Linked DNA regions of Rhinolophus ferrumequinum. Each later gene encodes a partner of the first gene's protein in a complex. Links are inferred from orthologs where the notes say so. Each region holds a gene or a part of one and is shown on either strand. Other genes may lie near its edges.

The links.
Region 2: TFDP1 (region 1) and E2F4 share a complex: the UniProt entries of both Homo sapiens proteins name them as parts of the DREAM complex. The link is inferred for Rhinolophus ferrumequinum from reciprocal best matches to the Homo sapiens genes TFDP1 and E2F4.

The regions. Positions count from the first base shown.
Region 1 is NC_046287.1:55,998,165-56,005,834, forward strand, and holds the start of TFDP1 (transcription factor Dp-1), read left to right. Parts: upstream 1-4,596; 5' UTR 4,597-4,783; intron 4,784-4,794; exon of another isoform or gene 4,795-4,947; intron 4,948-5,013; exon of another isoform or gene 5,014-5,278; intron 5,279-5,667; 5' UTR 5,668-5,730; coding exon 5,731-5,742; intron 5,743-7,670. UniProt on the Homo sapiens protein: Can stimulate E2F-dependent transcription.
Region 2 is NC_046298.1:16,921,377-16,929,577, forward strand, and holds the start of E2F4 (transcription factor E2F4), read left to right. Parts: upstream 1-5,130; 5' UTR 5,131-5,306; coding exon 5,307-5,441; intron 5,442-5,877; coding exon 5,878-5,987; intron 5,988-6,127; coding exon 6,128-6,289; intron 6,290-6,607; coding exon 6,608-6,651; intron 6,652-7,370; coding exon 7,371-7,432; intron 7,433-7,643; coding exon 7,644-7,941; intron 7,942-8,201. Other genes in the region: EXOC3L1 (exocyst complex component 3-like protein), read right to left, coding at 395-505, 715-815, 914-1,039, 1,175-1,292, 1,371-1,983, 2,525-2,744, 2,826-3,001, 3,206-3,251. UniProt on the Homo sapiens protein: Transcription activator that binds DNA cooperatively with DP proteins through the E2 recognition site, 5'-TTTC[CG]CGC-3' found in the promoter region of a number of genes whose products are involved in cell cycle regulation or in DNA replication.

The DNA.
Region 1 (7,670 bases):
GAAAGGCAGGAGAAGCTCTGAAAACGGAGTTGAAGTTATCCTTTTGTAAAGGAAATCTCTGTCAGGGTGTCTCCCTCTCTGTACCAGGAGAAGACAGATGACTAAATCACAAGAAACTTTTATCAATGTAAGAGGTAGGGTTTGTTATACACATAACAAACCTTACTTTTGTTTACCATGCTTTCCCCGGTCACCTCCGCAGAATTGGCCTCCCCCTCATCTTTCTTCATTAGCCAAAGATAGTATTTAAGCTTGAATTCTAAGCCACCTCTGAGAGTTACTCATTTTTCCCCTGGATATCTCCCATGCATATACATGTTCAACTTCTATTTTTCTCTTGTTAGTCTGTCTTTTGTTATCAAGACCCCAGCCAAGAATTTAGAACCTGGGAAAAATTAGTTTTCCTCTCCTAGGGTGTTCTTTGGAGGCGTGTCCTTTGGGAGGTAATTGGATCACGAGGTTGGAGCCCTGAGAGTAGGATTAGTGCCTGTATAAGAGGTCAGGAGCTAACTTGCTCTCCCTGCCCTATGAGGATAAAATAAGAAGGTGGCCATCTGCAATTTAGGGAGAGGATCCTCACTGGAACCTGACCATGTTGGCACCGTTCTTGAACTTCCAGTCTCCAGAGCTGTGAGAAATAAATTTCTGTTGTTTATTAGTCACCCTGTCTGTGGTGTTTTGTTATGGCAGCCCAAGCTGATTAAGACAGAGATGTAAGCAGCTACTAGCATTTTCCAGGACATGTCCTTGTCTGCTTGTGCACACACAAACACACACACACTCATAAGTGTGCACATGCACACACACATCTCTATATATATTCTCAGCGGGTCACAGCGTATCTAAACGTCACCTTCTCTGTGAAGCCCTCCCTTCTGCCTGTAGGAGAAAATAATTGCTGTAATCTGGTTCTGTGCTTCCATATTTCTCTTTCCTGGTATAAACAGTCTTGTCTCCTCATGTCATGTATGTCTGTGAATCGGTCTCTCCTGTTTGACTCTGAGCAATCCTCTATTTTATTAATCTGTATAGTATCAGCACGCAGAGTACTATCTGGCACGTATTTGGAGCTCAAAAATGTTTCCTGAGTGAGGAATGCAGGAAAGGTAAAACTTTTGAAATTGTGGTTTATCTTCTTATCAAAGAACTATGTTTTTATCTACTTATTTCTCAAAAGAAATATAAAAGCTAAAGGAATCTGAGCATCAGAGAGGCTAAGCTTACTTATCCAAGGTCATTTGACTTCCCTTCATCTCAGCTTCCGGTGGGCTCTAAGGTTCTTCTCTGAATGTGTAAAATACGTGGACAGGTAGCAGAGAAATGACTAAAGGCAATCAGTTGTACAGAAAGTCAAGTATCTTGCACTTGTGCGGTAGGTCCCTGGTACTGCTTTCACTCCTGGCTGACGGTAAATTGATTCAATTGAGGAAGGAAATGATATAAGGAGAACAGGGATCTCTCAACTTTACGCTGTAGGATTCCACAGAAAATAATCTGGATATTATTTTAGCCAGGACAATGTGAAGTCACATAGAAGGAACACTTTAGAATTGTGGAGTTAAAAGACAAAGAAATGAAAGGGATTTTTTTCATTGCAAAAGCCAGAGAACATTACAGATGAAAAGCAAACAAAAAGTGTCCAAGTAGTAAACAAGACTCGTAAGAGCAATTTGAGTATATTGGATGCTGTAATCTAAAATTTGTCAGATCCAAGGGGCACTTTTCAAAGCACAGTGGCTTCCGCTTGCAAGTGATTGTACAAGTCTTTAAGACTAATATTAAGAGTATAAAATACAAGAGGGTCGACTGACCCTCCTTCCAAGAGAAGGATTTGACCAGAAATTTTCAAAAGGACTCATGATGTAACGAGGAGTAAAAAAATTAAAGATGTCTCCATGTCTAGGTGGTGGGATGAGGGCGGCAGAATTTCTCTGTATACGGGGCTTAGAAATGGTGATTTCTTTAGGGAGAGGCCCAGGGGATTTATCTTGAGGTTGAGCCAAATACACTGATTTGCTTATGTTTTATGATACACACAAATTAGCAGAACAAAGTTTTCTAAAGATGCCTTTATTTATATTTTACCCAAGAAGAAAATGTTTCTTGTTCATAGATCCAGGAACATACCCCTCCCACCCCCCTGCTGAAAGTTCCATGAGCCCTTGTCCCCCTCCATCTTCCCACACCATTGCCACAGTAACCCAAGAAGGTGGAAAACAGGAATGGCTGGAGAAAAGGCCAATGTTATTGAGGAGGAAACCAAAGACAAATTGGATATTTAACAAACACATTTAGAATAAAAAATTTCGAGGGATTAGAAAATTCTCTCTTTAAAGGACAGTTTAATGGGGGTAGGGGCTGGGGGGTATGAATTTGGATCACGCTCTGAGACTCAACAGAGCAGACACACCAAGATGAGGAATATTGTTGGGAGATGAGGGCTTTTACTGGGAAGGACCCAACCACTTTCTTCTAACATGGAACAGAACAAGTTTCACGTGATATCCTAGACGACAATACAGGGCTGAATGCCAGTGCCTAGGAGGTGGATCAAGTCAACACCTAAATGAAAGCCTCACTAAGTTATGCTCCCAGATCATGGACCCCGCCCCCAAATATGGATTGGAAATGGCAGGATTAGATGAATAAGGGGGCTTTGGGACCAAAACTCTTCAAGAAGGCTGCACTTCTGCAAGTCAATCCACAGAGATTTCAAGGCGAGGCAGTGGGTAAAAATATTTGGATCTTCAACCAAACATTTTAGAATTCTGTTATCTTTTAACACAGAAACAGGGTTTTGTGGGATACTTGACTATAGAGAAGCCAAAGGAACAACTTTTTGCCTGTTTCCCAACTAAACCAGACTCAACAAGCTCTCATTGCTGTAGTAGCTCTTGCGAGTTCAGAATATTTAATTAGTGATTTTTGTGCAGAATTTTTTTTTACTATTAGAGATAGTTATCCTGTGTAAACACTGCCGAATGACTGGAATCTTGAATCCATAAGAAGTTTAAGATTCGTACTCTAAATCCTCCATTTCTTAATTCTGAGCCCCCAGTTCTCACAAAGAGGCTGGCTGCCGTGTACACTTGGGTCCAAGGACTAGAAGGGGGGCTTCCAGCTATTATTTGGGGGTGAATATTCGAAAGAGTCAAAAATAAAGAATTCCTTTGAAAGAAAATGGAGCTAGAAACATACCACTGAAGGAATAAAACACAGGAATGTATGTTCGGATATCATGGGTGGAGAGCTGAATACACTTCACCAGCAGAGAAATAAGGTGTTCTGACTGCAGGATGCATAGGGCTTTCCCTCTCTAAGCCTTCTGTTCAACCCTATCACCCGACCATCCATGTTTCTCTAAGTGCCCATTGTATGCTAATCAGCAGAATGGGAAGATTTTTGCTGTCTTCAAGAAACCAATGTTAATTAAGGTGTTAACACGTTAAGTGGTGCATTAGAAGCCGGAATGGGTGTGATCAGCATAAAAGTGGTTAAATTGTGAAACCATGCTAGGTGGGGTGTAATGCAGAGAGGTCTTTGCTCTGTGCTCAAGTCCTGAGACATTAATTATGCCCTGGCTCACTGCGCACCACAGCCTGGTGCAGCCCTGAACTTTGGACTTGACTCCCAGGCCTAGCCTCTGGGGCTTAATCCTCTGGGGGCTGTGGGCTCCAGGGGGCACTAGTCACCTGGGCTAAGGGTCCACCAGGCCCACGCAGTGATAAGGAACAACCTTGCTGCCCGGTTTACCTCCCTACTACATGAAGGACCATCATCTGGGCACAAGCCAGGCGTTGATGTGGAGGCTCCAAGTCCAGCAGAGGCAGGTGGACAGGGCTCTGCACTGCATACGCACACATCGTACCTTCCACGCACCTGCACACTCATGGGCAGCCTGCCGTCCTTGCGCACATACATACACATGCACTCACCCAAACACACCCACGTGCACAGCCTGTCTTTCTCCTCGAGTACACATACACTCGTGTGTGCACACACCTGAACTTTCCTCCACGTGTCCACACAGCCCCCTTCATCCCTCATGTGTGCACATCTGCAGGTGCACAGAGCAGCCCCCTCTCCGCTGTGTATGCACATAATACCTGTGCCCACAAAATCTGTTCACTTCTGCCTTTGTGCACACACCTGGCCACCTCTCTTCTTTGCGTGCACATGTGCATATACACCCAGTTCCCTTTCCTGTGTGCATATACACCTGCGCACACTCTCAGTCAGCCTCCCACTCATCTGTGTGCGCATATTCACAGGTGCACACACGAGGCTCCTCTCCTCCGTGTGCACAACCCCTGACCCGTCTCACATGTGCGCACGAGTGTTCACACACATTCCAGCCTCTGTCCCCGTGTGCGCACATGTGCACATCCCACCGGCTTTTCTTCCCCGCGCGCGCACCGCCGCGCACTGGCGCCAATCCCTGCTCGGCGCGCACACGCACAGCCCATCCCCCTCGGAGTCTAGCGCGGGCAGCCCGGGCGGGAGGAGGAGGAGGAAGAGGGAGCCGAAGGCGCGAAAACGCGCGCAGGCGCGCTGCGGGAGCCGGGCCGCCCCCCACGTCACCGCGCCGCGCACGTCACGCCGCCCGACGCCCGCTCGGCAGGGTGAGCCCCGCGCCCGGCGCCTCGCAGGGCAGGACCCTGGGCCGGAGCGCGCGCCGGGACTGCCCACGTCTCTGTGTCCGCGTGTCCGAGCCCGCGCGTCCGAGCCCGCGCCCGCGCCCTCGTGCCCACCCCCGCGTGTCCGTGCGCCCACCGCCAGCCAGGTGCGGCAGGCAGGGGGCTGGCGAGGGCTAGGGTCCCGGGAGGGGCGCGGGCACGCGGGGCGCCCACTGGTCCCCCGTCCTCCTTCCCTGCCGCGTGTGCGCGCCCCTCCCGGCTCCCCGGCCTCCTGCCCCTGGTCCTGGGCGCCGCCGTCGGGGGCTCCCAGGTGACTCGGCCGTGGGGTCGGGGGTCCCGGGTCCCCCTTGGGGCCTGCAGGTGGCCTTCAGGCGGAGCAGCAGCACCGGCGTCTGCACCCGGTGGGGGTCGGGGTCCGCCGGTGCGCAGGGGGTCTAGGGGTCCGCGGTGCGCGGAGGCGGCGCTGACCCGGACTTGGCCCGCCCGACTGCCGGTTCCGGCGCGCGGGAGGCGCTCGCGACGAGGCGGTCGCGGCCTAGTGACAGGCCGGAGGCCGGACCCCGGAAGCCCACCTGTCAGAGTTACCGGCCGGCCGGGTGGGCGAGGGGAGCGACCCAGCCGGGACCGAGGCACTCCTTGGGGTGCGCATTTGCGCAGGGACAACGGTGCTGCGCCTGGCGGGGGGTAGCCGGGTGTCCTTAGTTGCGCCCAGGTTGCGCGGGCGCAGGCTGGGTGCCAGGCCCGACCGGGTGCCGGGTCTTTGTGTGGGCATCGGGGAGGACAGGGGTCGTCAGGGAGCCAGACTGGGCATCCTATTGTTGGATGCATTTCCCTTTGCTGAGATGACTTAAAATCCCAGGTTGGGGGGTGGGGGTTTGCCAGCTGCGCTTTGAGGATGCAGTGTGGGTTTGGAATGGAAGGTGCCTGCTGCCTGGAGGGGCAGTCAGATTGCTGGTGGTACTGGGGGAAATGTTGATATTAACTTCTGGTTTTATTCTTACTTATTTATTTTTCCTTCCCTCTTTACCAGAAAAATCATTTTTCTTCTCTGGAGGGTGAACATTTATAGCATCGATTTCACGGATCTGGTAACATGGCAAAAGATGTAAGTATGTTTGCTTGGTTTTACAGACAGATGTTTGCCTAGCACTACACTCTTTGTAGTTTTCCCATTTTATTTCAGAAGGACGACACAAACTACAGTACTGTGTATTTTCAGACTTTTAAAGCACATGAAATAGGATAAAGATGAAAGAAATTTATTAATAATAGCTTTTATGGAAATGTGTGTGATTTGCTTCAGCAGCTGGGTTTTCAGTCTTAAAACACTGGGTGACAAACACTGCATGAGGCTATACGGTATCACTGACTTTTTCTTCTTTTCAGAGGGTATTAACTTACAATTTTTAATATCTTTGTTGAAGAACACACTGAGTTGGGTGAGATGGAGGGCTGGGCCCAGGGTGACTGGTGGTGTGACCCTGAGCACCTGGTTTGTGGAGAGTGTAGGAAGTTAATTCAACTTTGATGGATAAAGTGCTGAGTGCTTGTTTTGGCCACTTTTTTCTCAGAAAAAATCTTGGTGGTTAATGAAACGAACCCTACTTTAGCTTGTTTTGTGTTTGTCATGAAACACTAAAGTATAGTGAATAATTTTTTTAACTTGTTCCAAGAACTAAGCTTTTGGATCTAAAAATGTAGACTATTTTATTGGTTATGTAGTTCTTACCACACTTTGTCATATCACTTAAAGTCATGGAAACCCCAGTTCTGTCCTTCAGTGTTTCTCAGAATGCGTTGTTCTGTAAGCCTTAGTGAGAAGAGGCTGTTTATTTATTTACTTACTAATTGCACAGAGCTGGAAATGTGGCTCAGATAAACTGCATCTGCCTGAAACAACTAGAGGTAGTAAAAATGTGTCTGTAACCAAAGAATAGAGGCTTTCCGCCTTTCCATCAGTTCAGTGGTTTTAGTATTCTCTAAAAAGGCTGAGTGAGAGCCTCCTACACTCTCCCGACTGTCAGGCACGCACTCACGTTTGCTCCTGTCTTTCCATGCTGGGTTTCATTTGGTAGAGAGTGTATGAACACACAGTTGCACCCTGTGTGGTGTGTTTTAAGTTAAAGTTATAATCCGTATATAATATTAGGTTGATTTTATCACGTCTAATTGCATTTGTTGATGGCCACATCCTGTTCTCTGGCACATATACACCAAAGGGGCAAGACGGGTAGTATGTGCTCACAGCAGAATAATTAGGGATCTTGAAGAGGGCGCTGCTGTACCCCATGCTTCTGTTAGAGTGCAGTTCTGGGGTTGTGTGTTTCAGGGAATCAAATTTATTTGCCCTTTTTTATTAACCAACTAGAGGAGAGGGAGTGACTCCGTGTTTGAGAGACTCGCTTTGATTCCCTGCTGGCCTCGGGGATGTAAAGACAGATAGTAGAGGCCACTGCCATCTGGTTGCAGGAAGAAGGGCTTGGTAAACAACCTTTTCCGACATTCACTTCTGGAGAAGCAGCCCCTGCAAAGTGCGGGGGCAGCTGCGGGCCGCCTGCTGGCTGAATGGCAGGGTGGTTCCCCTGGAGCTATGAGGTTGGGTCGTGGGTGCTTTGGTGATAGTGGGTAGTCTAGGCCGAGAAACGGCCTACGGTGAGGTAAGTGGCCTCCCTGTCCCTAGAGCTGGCTGTTGCCAGGAGCCGCTGGAACCACGTTTCCCCGGGACTGGTGGGTCACGCTGGAAATGGAGATCGTGGCCAGTGAAGGGATTTACTTTACTTCGGCCTTTTCTCTAGGTACCTTATCTTTTTTAAGTAGGGGAGTGACATGTGAGTTTGGAAAGATGACTTTGGCAGCCAGTGTTGGAGGGGAAAGCAGCAGCCGTTAATTGAAGCCATAGCGGTACAATTTTTCTTAGGTGTAACATCAAGGCCTACAGCACAGGTGGGGGCCGAGCCCTCAGGTTAAGGTGGAGTGGGTTGGGACCCCATCTTTGCAGAGCTCTGGGGGTTCCATGGGAGGCTATTGGGGCCC
Region 2 (8,201 bases), on another chromosome or scaffold:
CTGTAACCCCAGACATTATCTGGCACAGAGTAGGAGCTGGTAAGTATATGTTAATATGTTAATAAATGAATGCTTGAGACTATGTGCCAGGCATTGTATTGTGGTAGGTACTTTACATCTGTTATTGCATGTGATTCTTACCCATATAATATAATATAATATAATATAATATAATATAATATAATATAATATAATACTAATAAGAAAAGTGACATTCAGAGAGATTTGGTAACTCGCCCAACGTCACACAGCTAGTAATTAGTAGAACTGGGATTGGAACCCCAGAGCTATGTGAGTCCAAAGTTCCTAATGGCCCAGTGTGGCTGGATAGGTACCTAATAGATATTCAGTCAGGGGTTAGTGAAGGTGGCATTCTGTGGGAGACTTCTGGTACCTGAGTGCTGATTGGTGGTTGAGGGCAGCCAGTAGGTAGGACACGTAATGAGGGGCCATTGCTTCCCCTCTGAGGTGGTCTCGGGAGAATCGAATCAGGGCATCACTGAAGCTGCAAAGGGCAGAGGTGGCTTTTGTACCTGCTGTCATTCTGGCGCCCCAACAACCTCTGTTCCGGGTACTCTAGCCCCACCTCCAAGATACTCAAGGCCCTGTTTGAAGGAGCCTTTTCCCACTGGCGGGCCTTATTCACTCGGAGCCCCTTTGGGCTGCCCCAGGAGCAAGACCAGGTGTTGGGAATGGATCAGTGCCTTGGCAGACCTTCTCAGGAATGCTCCCAGTTCTGACAGTGCCATGCCATGCACCCGCCGCTGCAGTGACTCACTGACCAGGCTGCTTACTCGAATGTTCTCTTCCAGGATCTACAGGCAGGAATGGGCAGCCATTAGCAGAGTCCTAGTCCTGCCCTCCTCCCCTTTCCCTATGGGAGCTGCCCACCTGCCCGCCACTTCCCACTCACCTGAAGCACGATGGCTGGCATTGGTGAGTGGTAAAAGCCAGATGGGTCTGTGTCAGGCTCCTGCTCCCGGCCCCACTCAGCTACTTCCCCATCCAGTGCTTTCTGCAGCCACTGCACCACATTTGCCTGGGGGAAGGGATGAGGGGCAGCAGGATATAGCAGGGCACTGACCCTGCTAGAGACAGTTAGACATGTGACTTTGCAAATACAGGCACACAACTGGTAGCAGAGCTTCTCTGGACCTGGGCCCCAACTACTCACCTGGACTTTGGACACAAATGTTGCCTCAAGCTGCTCAATATTCTCCAGGGTCAGGAGGGGCTCCAGCTGAGACACGTCAGCCTCAGGCCCCAAGTCCAGGCTCCCCATCATTTCTGGCCTGGTGATAGGTGGCCAGTGTCACACTGAGCCTGCAGCTTCCGATCCACCCACTTCCCATTGCCCAAAGCGCACTGACCCCAGGTACACATGTAGTGCCCAGTGCAGTAAGGTGAAGGCATCAGCAGCTCCCAGCTCAGGCCCTTCCAGGAATTGCTGTAGGCAGCGGCGCAGGCCACTATGCAGGGTGTGGGCCCATAGCTGGACCACCCTGTAGTGCGGTGGGCAGCAGGGTGCTATTAGTGCCTCAGCTCTGGCCAACTCGGCTGGTAGAGCCACCCGCAGAGCCTCCAGCCACCCTGCTAGGGCCCCTGGCCCAGGCAGCAGATGTGTCCCAAAGTGGACCTGCTCCAGGCCCTCCTGTAGTGCCCGCAGACAGCGCTGCCGCCAGTCCCGGGGGGCTTGCTCCAGGGAGGTTGTGCGGCCCGTCTCCACCTCCGCCACACGCACAGCAGCCACCAGCAGGGCTGGGTCCTCCCGTGCCAGCTGTCCTGCGGCCCCTACAGCCGCCTCCACAGCCTGGCCCAGTGCCTCCGACAGAGGGCCCAACCCCTCGAAGATTGGCAACTCCAGGTGCCCCAGAGATGCCCATGTCTCCTCTTGCAGCTGCTCAAGCTCCCGAAGGCTCACATATGCCTCCAAGAGCCGTTGGGCATCAATCAAGGACTGTGTGTGGGCCACTGCAGCTGGCACTAAGGAGGGAAAAGAGGAGACCGCCCTGGGTCTCAGCCTTCCCACCTGTGCAATGGATACAGGATCAGATGCGGAGGTCCTGGGGCTGGGATCATGTGTAAAATATTTAATAACCAGTATAGTAGAGCATTAGCCAATCTGAAAGGATCCACGGAAGGTCCTAGAGGCCTGGTGGGCCAGGGGTAAACCCTTGAGCTAAAGGAACATGAGGAAGTCAGGGATCCTGGAAAGAAGGCAGAGAAGAACTGGAGGATCATTCTAATGGCTATTCACCCACTCTGTTAGGGAAATATTTCAATTTAACAACAAGGATGGCCAGAGCCACTTGACTGGGTGTCCTTTCTGACTCAGACATCCCATGCTCAGGAACACCAGAATGAGCTAATTTGCACCCTGCTTCATATGCCATCTGAAGCCTGAGTTACTTTCTGGGAGGTTCCTGGTGTGGCCCGCCACGCAATCTCCCACTAGTGTCCCAGCCCCTTGATGGGTGTTGACTGACTATTGGATGGTTGAGGCCCAGGGCCCCTGCATACTCACCTGCCTGCAGCCGGGGCAGCAGCTGAGACAGGGCCTGCAGTTGTTTGTGCTGGCTGACCTGCTCCCGCAGGGGCTCTAGTGCCTGTACAGTCTCGACCATGCCCCGGAGCAACCCATGGGCCTGGCCCAGGGCCTCACGGGCTTCCTGCATGGCCTCAAGGCCCTGGGCCAGCTGCCACACACCAGTCTTCACACCCTCCAGGTATGACTGCACCACTGACTGTGGGAGGGAGGCAGCCAATGAGGCCTGGCCAGCCCTGCCGCCCACCCCCAGCACTCTTGCCCCCTGCCTGATGCCCACCTTCATGCGTGCTTCCAGGGAGCAGGTACGCTGCACCTCACGGCTGCGGTACTGGCCCAATCTGGCCAGCTGCTCCGGCCGGTAGAAAATGCCTGAGGCCCACTTGAGTGCTGCACCCCGGGCTAGCCGCTCCGCCCTCTCCTGCTCCGGCCACTCAGGCCCTGGGCAGGAAGAGCCTGGGCAGCCATGTCAGTTGGGCAGGGCCTGAAGGAAGCAGCTGCCGAACCTGCTCCCCTTCCTGCTCTTTAGTCTGGCCCCCAGGGTGGTCCACTCATCTCACTGACCCATAGAGCTCCAGCCAGACTTGGCAAGGACCCAACCCCACCATTCCCCTCTTTCTTGCCACATCCCTCTCCCAACCCACCCGGAAGGTCTCATACCAGGGAGAAGTGCAGGCTGCATTTCGTTCTTGGTTGTTGAGTCCATGGCAGGCCCCGCAGGAGCTGGAGCTGAGGTGGGAGTCGGGGCAAGAATGTGGGTTAGAGCAGGCAGAGTGGATGCTCCTTTGAGATGCAGGTTCTCCCTAGGCCCCTCCAAGGAGGAAGAGGGAGGTTCTTGTCCAGCCCCCTCCAGAAATGCAAGGGAGGTGGTATGACGGACAGATACCCGGGAAGCCTTCCCCTGCTGGGTTTCTTAGTTTTGCCCTGTGCAGATGCCAAGTGAGGCAGGGTAGGCACAGACCTCCCCTGCTGAGTGGCAGAGGACAGTCTGGTATGGAACTCACCAGGCCCAACCAGGCATCCAGTCCTCCGCCCTCCTCACACAGCCTTGGCCTTGAGATGGCCCTCTCCCCGCTGCCCTCACAGCAGAGCTGGACACTCCCTCCACTAGCTCAGAGGGCCTGGGTGGCCCTGGCCCACACCTCAGCACACAGCAGAATTCCTCTTCCCAAGGAAGCCTGTGTCCTACCTCCCTGCCCAGGCGCCCCTTCCTCCCTCCAAGCTCCCTCCCGCCCCAAGGCCACGTAGAGAAAGGAAGGAAACTGAAACTCTGGCATTTTATTCCCAACAGGAAAGAGCATCTGCACTGTGGGATGGGGTGGGGAGGGCAGGGCGCCACTTCCTTGGGGGGCGGGGAGTCCACCCAGGACCTCTTAGTGCTCAGGACACAGACGCGAAGCAGATGGCCTCAACCTGGGGTGCAGAGGGGGTTGTGCAACATGGACGCAGACAACAATGTCACAACATGAAAACTGTGTTGATGGGCCCCTCAGAGGAGGGTGTGCACCTCTACAGAAGAGTGAGAGATCACAGGCTGCTGTGAAGAATGCTTGTGGTAGGTGATGGCAGGAGAGGGGCCCAAGGGGTATGAAAGCTGTTTATCTTGAGAGTTAAAGGGGGCCACAGAAGGGACTACAGGGTAGTTAGTAATAATGTAGTGGTCATTGGTGAACCATCCAAATCTACCCTTCAGGACAAAGGCACTTGTTCCCCTAGTTGCCAGGAGTGTAGGCTGCTGAGATCTCACAGCTGAGTCTCTGGGTCAATTTTGAGGTACAAAGGCCCAGTACCTTTGCCTGGATGTGGAACACCTTGGAAAGGCCACCCTAGTTTCAGAGCCTCTCCTAGTAGGATGGGCTGAGGCCTCTATTTTAACTGCCTCGCAGTTTAATTCCTTCTCTGTCCAATTCTGTTTGTCTTACTTCCTTATGAGCGTGGATCCTCCAATAAAGGGATTTGCAGGCAGATCCCTGTCTCAAAGTCTGTTTCCCAGAGAACTTGATCTAAAATGAAAAATAATAAATGATAAATAATGACAATGTTAAAAATAACAAAATGATACCAGCAAACACATAATTCTTCCTACATGCCAGGAACTGCTTTAAGTACTTTACATATATTTATACACCGGTAAACATGTTTGCATAGGCTGAAAACTGGTTATAATTCCATGGTCTCTGACCACTGCAGTATGGAGACGATGAGGCTGGAATCAGGGAAGGGGAAAAAGGATGGAGACAAGTGGACAAGCTAGATATAGTTAGTGCTTTTGTTTGGCAGAAAGTGAGGTATGAAAATAGGGTGGATGACCCCAAGAAAGTAGGGCAGCTTCCAGGAGCAGAATTGGGAAAACATATTGGGTTCATTAGGCAACATGATCTCTTTTCCTAAGATGGGGGGCTGGGACAGAGTTAGTGGAGTTGGGGCAGGTTGGCCAGTCAGGAAGGTTCTGGTGGCTCCCCTTTTTCTACTGCCGGGATTGCCCACCGACTTGTTCCACATGCTTCTACACCATGTCCTGTCTCCCGGGATTTGCGGGTTGTTTTCGTCCTTTTCGGCGGTTGGACATTTGCTGATGGTCCCCGAAGTTTTGCGACCGTGCCGGCAGAGAGGCATTGCGCCAGGTTCCCTGGGAGAGCGCGGAGCGGAAGCGGAAGCAGATACGCTGGCGCCGGCGGCGGGGTGGCCAGGAACGGAAGCGGAAGTGGCGGCGGCGCCGGCCTGGCCTGGCCTGGCTGAAGGGAGGCGGCAGGCTGGCGCGATGGCGGAGGCCGGGCCACAGGCGCCGCCGCCCCCGGGTACTCCAAGCCGGCATGAGAAGAGCTTGGGACTTCTCACTACCAAGTTCGTGTCGCTTCTGCAGGAGGCCAAGGACGGCGTGCTTGACCTCAAGCTGGTGCGGCCCGGGCTAAGGGAAGACAGGGGTGAATGGTGGACCAGGCCTGGGCCGGTAGCGGGAACCCCCGGGGCGGCCCAGCGGAGCCCTCAGAGAGCAGGCCACCATCCGTGCGTTTTCTCAGAGGAAGGAGGCCGGGAGCGGTTTCATTCATTCGGCCGAGGCCATTGGGTGTCCGCTATGTGCTAGTCTCCGGGCTGCAGGTGCTGATCCTCGTGGCCCTCCCCGCCTGGTGTGGGGAAAAGAGCATCAGCATATCAGTCCAGGGTGCGCCAGGCCTCTTCCCGCCCCGCGGTCCTGAGTTGCTGTAGTGCCTGGGAGGAGGGTTGGGACCTAATCCACCCCCTTTTCAGACCGCTCCAGACCAAGTCACAAGGTAGCTGGGGGTACACCTGAGAGTGGGGTTGAGCATCCTCCACTCTCTTCTGTGTGCCAGGCAGCTGACACCCTAGCTGTGCGCCAGAAGCGGCGGATTTACGACATTACCAACGTGCTGGAAGGTATTGGGCTGATCGAGAAAAAATCCAAGAATAGCATCCAGTGGAAGTGAGTGGGGGCACCTGGGAGGGTAATGGGATCTCCTATCCAGAAGTGCCAGGGGTGGGGGGTGGAGGGTGCAGGAGAGAGCAGGGGCCATGGGACCCAGAGTTTCCCAGCAGCTCCTCAGCCCCACTCCCTGCACTCAGGGGTGTGGGGCCTGGTTGCAATACCCGGGAGATTGCGGACAAGCTGATTGAGCTCAAGGCAGAGATCGAGGAGCTGCAGCAGCGAGAGCAAGAACTGGACCAGCACAAGGTGTGGGTGCAGCAGAGCATCCGGAACGTCACAGAGGACGTACAGAACAGCTGATATCCTCCTGGCAGTCCATGCTCCCGGGGAGTGGGCGAGGGCCCCTCTAGTCATCTGGGTTTGCTCTGTGGTGCCCCGGGCTGTATCCCTCTTGGGAGGATGGTCCTGCAGCTTCTGGCCAGGTCCCAGCCTCCGGCTCCCCTCTCAGAGCTCCTCTCCCACCAGTCTTGGCCTGTGATCCGTCTCCGCATAGACCCCAAGCCCCAGTACTTCTGAGGGCTTGTATGACAGACCTCTCCTAAAGAGCTGGGTCTTCTCTGTGGTCTGCCATCTGTCACCATAGGCAGGGCCTCAGTCGTTCTCCTTAACCCCCACACCTTGGCCTACGTGACTCATGAGGACATCTGCAGATGCTTTGCTGGTGAGCAGAGCCTGGGTCGGGGGAGATGGGGGTGGGGCTGGGCTGAGCCACAGCCCTGAGCAGTGGGCTCAGTACCCAAGGAGAGTTACATCTCTTCAGAGGGTTCCTGGGGCCTGCCCAAAGAGGAACCAGGCAGGGTAAGTCCTGGGTTTGAGGGTCACTGGGATCCTGTGGAGGCTAACCATACTAAGAGGGTACAACAGTCGTGGGCTGGGTCCCTGGGTCAGCCCCCATCTGCACCGGCCCCTGGTTTTGGCTTCTCAGGTGTGATGGGCATAAGGGGGGGTGGTGTGTGCATGCTTGTATGCTGAGGGCAGTGACTCCCACTTTCAACTTATAGTTTATTGCATTATGGATACAGGAACTGTTCTTTCTCCATCTTGCACCCCACAGACTGGTTCTGAGGAAGGGATGTTGGCTTTGGCCAGAACACCTACACTTAGGGAGCAGCCCCGTCAATTGAGGAGTGAGGTGCCCCTGGCCAGCAATCTTTCGTCCCACATGTTTGAATCCAGATTTTCTGGTTACTAACCACCCCCTGGGCTCTTGGAAGGAGACAAGCTTTAGTTCTCTGCCTCAGCCACTGTGGGGGATGGGTGAGACCCCCTGTCTAGCTTCTCAGAGACTGTGATTTCCTTCCTTGCTCCAACGGACAGGCACCCCTATTCCCAGCTCAAACTGAGTCCCTGGAGCCTGACCCATTCTCCTTGTTGTTCTAGGAGACACCCTCCTGGCCATCCGGGCTCCATCGGGCACCAGCCTGGAGGTACCCATCCCAGAGGTGGGTGCTCAGACCATGCAGGCGGGGTTGGTTGAGGGCGGGTGCAGGCTGTAGAACCCGATAAGTTCCGGGTGGGGCAGGTAGGTTGAGGCCTGGGGTTCGGGGTTATCTAGGAGAACGGGCAGCCTGGGGTGGGAGAGGACACTGGTCCTGGCCCAGAGTCAGGCAGGAGCCAAGACTGCTTCCAACTCCTCCTGTCCCACACCCCCAGGGCCTCAATGGGCAGAAGAAGTACCAGATTCATTTGAAGAGTGTGAGTGGCCCCATCGAGGTGCTGCTGGTGAACAAGGAGGCATGGAGCTCGCCGCCTGTGGCAGTGCCTGTGCCACCCCCTGAAGATCTGCTCCAGAGCCCACCTGCTGTCTCTACCCCTCCAACTCCACCCAAACCTGCTATGGCCCTGACCCAGGATGCCTCACGCCCAAGTAGTCCCCAGATGACTACCCCCACCTGTGTACCCGGCAGCATCGAAGCCCAAGGGGTGACCAGTCCATCAGCTGAAATCACAGGTGAGGCAAGATGGGCATCTGGATGGAGTGATCTCTGGGGCCCAAGAGGCAATACTTCTGTATTGTGGGATGCCATACTCGGAGTTGTAAGAGACCCTATGGGGGTTGTCCCTTTCATGGCCACCAACTGGCCTTCCCTTGCGATGGCGGGGGAGCCCTTTTTAACAGGCAAGCTCTGACTGTGAAGGGGCATTAGTGGTAGCAGTTTTTCCCCAGATCCACCCGTGGCTCACTTGCCCTGGCAGCCCCTCTTGAAGTGT